Mus musculus: one gene and its partner. The protein of the gene in region 2 purifies or fractionates together with the protein of the main gene of each other region. This does not show direct contact. Links are inferred from orthologs where the notes say so. Each region holds a gene or a part of one and is shown on either strand. Other genes may lie near its edges.

Region 1 (4,105 bases), on a different chromosome or scaffold from region 2:
CCCTTAACCATAAAATTATTTTCATTGATAATTCATAACTACAATTTTGCTACTGTTATAAATGTAATTGAAATACTTGTGTTTTCTGATGATCTTCTGTGAAAGGGTCATTCCACCCCCAGAGGTTTTCTTACCAGACTTCCTCTCACACCCCTAACTCTCACATTAGTTACTGGATCTCACTGAGCCATAGGTCCCAACTATTCTCACTTGATGTCCTGGTACCTTCCTTTAAGTTCCTCACCCCCTACCCCTTGTAACATGTCTCTGCTAGTGTTGTCTTTTGTTGGCTAGCGTTATGGTTTCATTTTCTGAACTATGTGGTGGTTTGAATATGCTTGGCCCAGAGAGTGGTGCTAACAGGAGGTATGGCCTTGTTGGACTAGGTGTGCCACTGTGGGAGTGGGCTTTGAGACCCTCCTTCTAGCCGGGTGGGACGAAGCCCAGTCTTCTTCTGGGTTCCCTTGAATAAGACATGGAACTCTCAGCTCCTTCTCCAGTGCCATGCCCGCCTGGATGCTGCCATGCTTCCCACCTTGATGATAATGGACTGAACCTCAGAACCAGTAAGCAGCCACAGTGAAATGCTGCCTTGGTCATGGTGTCTGTTCACAGCAATGGAACCCTAAGACAAGGTTCTTAACCCACAGGTATACCTTCTGTCATCTGAACACTCACCAACTTTGACCACTGTGACTGCTTCCCCCATTTCAGAGCCTTTTCTCCTAGGGCCTCCAAGATACCAGTCTCTTCTAGCTTTTCCCCTTCTCTTCCTAATCTGTTAGCTCCTCTGACACCTCAGGGTTTCAGCATTGTTAGTGTTCCCAGTTTTTGTTCTATGCTTCTTTTCTAGGTCAAGTACTGGCCCAGAAACACTTCAGTTCATGTTTATGTGCCCAATCTCTTTTGCATTATTTATGGCTCTTTTCCTGCTACAAGGGCAGAGTTGAGTAGCTGTGACAGACTGCACACAAAGCTGAAAATATTCCCTGACTTTTTTTAAAAACACAGCTACCAATCCCTGTGGTAGGTGAGTACATCTACCTCTTTATTTCAGTTACTTATCTTCTGGGGGCTAGGGCATACTTGCCCACACCTCTTTACATTTGCATCTTCACACGTACTGTTAAAATTTGCCTTTCTTTTATACTGATTAATTATGGATGTGCAACTGCTTGCCCATGGAAGTCAGAGGACCGTCTGCAGGTTTTCTCCTTCCATCATGTGGGCTCTGGGAAGTGAAGCACGGGCAGGCAGTGAAGCGCCCTGGCAGCCCTGCTTACTCAATTTTCTACTTGACCAACCCACTGGTACACTCAGGGGCACCTCACAAGGAATACCAAGCCCAAGCCACACTCTGTCCTTTCTTCTTGTATGCACAACGGCAGCTCTAGAACTCACCCAAACCCCTCTCATGCTGCAGTTCTGTCACGCCTTGACCTGCGAGCTCTATTTCCTTGCGTCCACTCTCTGCCTCTCTCTGCCTCCCCTTTGCAGGTGCTCTGCTTCAGCCCTCAATCTGCTGTCCAGGCCCAACTCAGGTCTACTACTTTCCACAAAGCAGGCATGTTCTCTAGTTTCCCCTGCCTCGGCTCTGGAATGAGTGCTGGTCATGGGCCTCTGCAGAGACCAGCCTGGAGGAGTCTTCTCAGCTCCCTGTGAGTCCTGCCCCACAGGCAGGTGACCAAACCACTGAGGGCTTCACTTCCTGCCACCCTCCCGTAAGCCTGGGATGCCAACCTCTTCAGATAGTTGGCTTCTCTTCATCTTGAAGGTTAGCGACGGACACATAATACAACAACAGTCTGTGTCCAAATGAAAAATCAGAGGAGTGAGGTGGGGGTTGGGGGTGGGGGTAGAACTTGGAGCTGAGCATATCTAGGGTTTATGAACCAGTATGTAGGAAAACCTTGGGACACGTGCCTGTCTGAAAAGTTTAGGAAAGCTAGATATTATATATCCAGAATATGTTACAAATATACCTGGTTTATTTGAGTTGGAGGAAGCTTCTGACACATCCTCTTCCCTAACATGGGTGGTGGGCACTTTCTGTTTGTGCTGGGGTGGTGGTAGGTCACTGCATAAGAGAGGGCATGTGGGTACTCTGTTTAACGGGTCAAGGGCTTTGAACTTGCTGTCATTTGAGCTTTCATTTTTGGCAGCATGCCCTCTCAGTACCACGTTGTTGGGAGTATAAAATAACATGTAGATCAAGTATCACAAACTACGCAATAGCTTATACCTACTCCTTGCACATTTCTGTGGCTTAACGGCAATTCGGCTGAATTCAGATCACTCGGGAAGGCAAGCCACAGTAGGAAGGTGCAAAAAGAGAAACAGGCTAAGAGTTCAGGGGCGATGGAACGAGAGGAATAGTAAGATGCACAGGAAGAAAACATTAATTTCCCCAGAACTCACCCAACAGGGTTCCAATAACTCGGGCAGCTCCCTCGTTGCGGCGTTCGTAGCTGTCCACGATCGAGGCCAAAATGACGGGGTGTAGCCTGACCACGCGGCCGCCCGGGAAAGGCCCCGGGAGGGCGGGCCCGGGCTGCGAAGGCGCCGGCGTCTGCGCTGGGGCTGGCGCGGAGGCTGGGGTCTGGCCCGGGGCTGCAGGCGCAGCTACAGCAGGATCAGACGAGACGGGCGCCGGGGACGCAGCGGGAGTCGCAGCCGGTGTCGGAGCTGGCGTGGATGGGGTCGGGGCTGAAGCCGGGGCTGCGGTGACGACCGGCGCCGGGGCTGCGGCTGCAGTGGCAGGAGGGACATTAGCCGGTACGGCCGGAGAAGCCATCTTGCCGAGAAAGAGAGAGAGCCTAGAACAGAAGAGCGTGAGTTGGAGGAATTAGAAATTTGATTGGCTAAATTTATACCACGTGAATCATATCTTGATGACTATTGGACATGAAATTTCCGGCTAGTTGTAAGTTTTAGTGCGCGGTGTGCGCTTTAATTTCTGTCCGATGCGCACTCAGTGTGTAGGAGTCCAGAGTAGTTCCTAGTAACTTTAGGACTTCCTGGGGTGGGAATGGGGAGGAAGCAACTAGCAATCTACACAGTTGCCACCAGGTGGCGGCACAGAGTAGTGTAAAGGTCGCAATTGTTTAAGACTTAAATGGATATTAAATATCAGTCTTACAGGGGATTCACTGTTACATCCATTTAACTTATTAATCAATGAATTAAAATTTGGACTCAGGATCTACTTTGCATTCCACGCCTAGCCATATAGGTTAGGTTGGCCTGGAACTTACCTCAACTTTCCTGCCTCTGCTTCCCGAATGCTAGGACTATAGGCAGGAATCATCATGCCTGACCAATAGTGCTTTATTTGTGATGGCTTCATAAGGCATCATTAGGGAGGCATATTCATTCAACAATTTAAATGCTTAATATGCACCAGACTCTCTCTTATATGCTAGGGTATATAAGTGAACTAAATAGCAAAGGGTTGCATTCTCTTTGGGGGAGAGAAAAGGACTAAATCCTACATTAGGTTAGAAAGTGCTTCGATACACAGTAAATTATTATTACTATTTGACTGTGCTATGAGAAAGAAATGATCAGTGGAGGTTATGAGAGCATGAAAGATTATGAAGGGTTAGAGTAGGATACAATGAGGGTATCAAGTTGGAGTGGAAACTTGAAGAATTCAGGCAGCCAACTATTATTTGGGGTTTTGTAGGGAGAGCTCTTCTGGTGGAGTGAACAGTTCATGTAGAGGGCTTAAGGTGAATGAGAGCAAGACTAGTACATTTAAAGAAAGAATTTGGTGGTTAAATGGCATTATCAAAAGAAAGGATAGATCTCTAAGCAGGGCCAGGAGCTAATTATGAAGACTCCTATGCTGGTACTGGAGAGATGGCTCAGCGGTTAGGAACACAACTAGAGTTGTGAGTAGCTGTAAGCCACCAACCAACCCCTTCCCCTTGCTAGAACCTCAACGCAGATTCTCTGCAATAACCTCTTCCAAAGGTCCTAAGTTCAATTCCCAGCAACTACACAGTGGCTTACAATCATTTGTAATAGGATCTGATGCCTCCTTCTGGTGTGTCTGAAGATAGGGACAGTGTGTGTGTGTGTGTAATAGATAAATAAATATTTT
Region 2 (3,512 bases):
CTGAACAGGTGGGAGGTGTGGGTGCCTCCAGAGTTTCTGGCACAAGTAAGTGGTGGGTGTGCAGACTCCTGATGGTCTCCAGGCCACACGACACTGGCCCACAGGAACAGCAAGTCCGTGAATGGAAACCCCACTGAGCTGTAGGTGAAGGCTCTGGAAACCCCATGGACAGCAGCAGGAGTTAAGAGGAGCCACCAGGAACACTGCAGTGAGGCTCCAATGCAGACACGGCTGATAAAAACCCAAACAGGGCAAGGTGAGAGCAGAGGCTCGAGTGTCCCCGCTGTGGACCTGGGGCTGAAGGCACAGAGCTGTGTCGGGATAGAAGAACCCTGGGTGCACTCGCAGTCCAGAGCAAGAAAGCACAGGTAAGAGCCCAGCACGAGGCTCGCCGTGAAGGGTGGCCTCGGATCCTGGGCACGGCACGGTGACACTGCAACAGATGAACCACCATTTAGTCAGACACAAAGCAAGGGAGCACAGCCGGACTCTTCACTGAGCAGGCTCCATGCCATGAGAGGCTTAGCGCTCACGCTCGCCCTCTCCCCCCCCACCCTCTCTCTCATGGTTCCTGAAGGAGCCCAGTACCAAGCAATACCACATGCAGGCAGGCAGGCAGGCAGGCAGGCAGGCAGGCAGGCAGGCAGGCAGGTAGGCACTCCGTCCTGCACCAACAATATCAACATGGTGACAGTGCTGTCCCTGACCTCTGGAGATGGCCATGCCCGCCTCTGCTTCTCCCCAAGCTCCCTAGCACCCACTAGCAGCAGCACTGCCACCCTCCTGGGATGTCCTCTATGTGGTGGTCTAACAAGCAGCCAGGGCTCGTCAGCAGACCCTCATTCCTAGTTTCTTGTTCACAGATCTTACCACAGTGCTGAGATCACTCCTGACTTCCCAGAGGAATGACTTCCTCGGTGACAAAAAACTCAATGGTCTCTTCCTCCCAGTCATCCACGTTGCTGTCCAGCTCGTCAGTGTCCACCCCTGAGAGAACAGACAATAGACTGACCCCTGGGACACGGCCTCTCGGGGAACCACTGCACTTGCAGACAAGCCCAGAAGCTTGGTTACCTCCTCGTAGCTCTAGACGCTCGTTCTTCTGCTTCATGTAGAGTTCCTGGGCCATTTTCCGGTATTGCCGGAAGTCCTCCATCATGGTCCGCCTTCTTTCCACCAGTTCCTGTCAGGTAGGGAAGGTTGTAGGACATTCTTGCTCAATGACAATGACCCCACCATATCTAGCAACCACTGGTGAAGAAGTCTGGAAGATGTCAGTGCTTGTGCACTGGGCAAGCCTTCCACAGAACCTCCCTTAAGCGGGGCCCTCGTTCCTCTTCCTAATCATACTCCCCCCTGCTTCTTGCAAGAAAAAGCTAGCCTTCACTCAGTGTTGTGGGTGCTGGCCTTCTGCTCCCCATTGCTAGTTCGTTCACCTTCACATCCGGAGAACAAGCCAGATCAGGCTCCTGTGAGCATCCCTCAGGCTCACCTTTGAAGCTTTGGACTGGCTCAAGCGATCCTTCTGCTCAAAGATCTTGGAGTACTTCTTCAGATCCTTTTTAATTTGCTGAAACCAAGACAAGTCTCTCAGGATTGAGCCTTCAAAGCAAGATTCCCAACTGCTGCCTTTAAAGATGCCAGTGTGCAGTGACAGCCTCCAGGACTAAGAGGATTCAGCCCCAGGGCACCAGCATGGCCAGCTGGCGAGTCTCACCTCATGGAGATGATTCCTAAGGTGAGTCACTCCCAGCTCTGACCTAATACCACAAACCTATCCCATTACATAACCCCTTCTTAGCTCTTCCAATCCCACTGGAACTTGCTTATAGCCTGTCTGGCTTAAACAGACTATCATGGGTATTCTGAAGTCGGGGGTGGGGGGGTGGGGGGGTGGGGGGGAAGAAGGTGCAAGGGGAGGGGAGCAGAGGACACAGGCAGGATCATCCTATTGCTATATGTCAGAGTCTGGAAAGAACTCACCATCCTCCTGCCTCAGCCTACTGGGATTATAAGCACTGCCTAACCTAACATGGCTTTGGGTCAGGTCTCATTGGCCCTGCATCTCTTCAGAGCCCTCTCCACGTCCTACCTCCACTCTCCATTGACTGCCCCTGTCCAGTCACAGGACAAATGCTTGGTTTCCTTCAGTGCCACAACAGTTCCCTTACCCCAACCAGGCAGGGACCACAGACCTTTATCTGATCCTGGCTGAGGAGTGTTGGGGGCCTTGGTCTCCAGAGCAGCTGGCAGAAGCGGTCCTTGTTGTTCTTCTGCAGAAGGCGACCTTGGAAGGTCCACAGCCAGTAAGCATTGTCCACCTAGAGGGCAGTGGGAACCATCATGCAAAATGTGCAAGGCTGCCCTGGACCGTTACTCTTAGCAGCCACAGCACCAACCTGAGCTCTGGACAAAAACACCTGCACCTGGCTGTGTTCCCCCTCCAGCAGAAAAGATGGCTAGCAAACAATGCTGCAAGGATCCTGGGCCTGCTCGTCACCCACTGGTCTATGACAAGAAACTCTCACAGCAGTGCCAATGAGAACAGCAGCAACTTCAGCTTAGCTTTCTCCGCAAGATTCTAGAGACAGATTCTCTCTGTGTAGCCCTGGCTGTCCTGGAACCCTCTCTGTAGACCAGGCTGGCCTCGAACTCAGAAATCCGCCTGCCTCTGCCTCCCAGGAGCTCCGCCTCAACTCAAATGCTGGGCTCCTTGCTGCCAACCATCTCTTCAGGGGCTTTGTGAACTGAATGGAACAGCCCCACATAGGCTTTAAAGACTCTCACTTCCTTCCCCTCGGCCCTTTTGGGGGTGGGAGATGCTGGGATGGAACCCAGGCAGGTGCTATGCTATGCACTGACATTGCCAGTCCTACAATGTGCTACATAAGTGTTGGGATGGGTCCTAGACAGCACATCCTGTCCTGAGTATAGAGTGCTATTCCAGACACTACCCAAGGACTCTGGGAAGCAAGGGGTCACATCTCATCAGCTGGAGCCCTCTGAGCTCACAGGTTTTGTTTTCATGGACTGGTTCAACTGTCTACTTAACAGTAAACACAGGCACAGTGCTCCAGCAGGCCCAGCCAAGCAGACATGCCCAATGCTCTGGTAGCTGACCCCTCAGCTGCGCGAGGTTTGTGAATAATGCCCTCAGCTTGGGATCCCTGGATATAACAGCCCCACAGGAACAGTTTCTGTCACCAGCCTTGAGAGGTTTCGTTCTCTAAGGGCCCAGCACCTGCCATCTTCTACCTTGTGGCTCCACCACGACACAGAGGTAACCACGTAGCGGCCAGTTGGGTCCCATTCAACATCGGAGGCCATGTAGTGCTCTGCAATGTTCATGACGGTGCAGTCTGAAGTGTCGACAAACGCCAAGGCACCGTTCATGCTGTGGGGTGACAGGGCAGCTGATCCCACAATCCCCTGTACCCCCACCGGGAGTCCAATGCCCCTCACCACAACTGAGAACTGAGTCACAGGGTGAGAAAGGATGGAGGACTCTGCTG

The links.
Region 1: the proteins of Eif3b (region 2) and Eif3f purify together in Homo sapiens (affinity purification with mass spectrometry; 14 studies listed by BioGRID and IntAct, counting the BioPlex papers as one, with this or other methods). This does not show direct contact. The link is inferred for Mus musculus from reciprocal best matches to the Homo sapiens genes EIF3B and EIF3F.

What each region holds. Positions count from the first base shown.
Region 1 is NC_000073.6:108,933,121-108,937,225, reverse strand, and holds the start of Eif3f (eukaryotic translation initiation factor 3 subunit F), read right to left. Parts: upstream 2,812-4,105; 5' UTR 2,795-2,811; coding exon 2,419-2,794; intron 1-2,418. UniProt on the Homo sapiens protein: Component of the eukaryotic translation initiation factor 3 (eIF-3) complex, which is required for several steps in the initiation of protein synthesis.
Region 2 is NC_000071.6:140,439,795-140,443,306, reverse strand, and holds part of Eif3b (eukaryotic translation initiation factor 3 subunit B), read right to left. Parts: intron 3,395-3,512; coding exon 3,256-3,394; intron 2,322-3,255; coding exon 2,196-2,321; intron 1,571-2,195; coding exon 1,493-1,570; intron 1,184-1,492; coding exon 1,075-1,183; intron 988-1,074; coding exon 884-987; 3' UTR 871-883; intron 434-870; 3' UTR 1-433.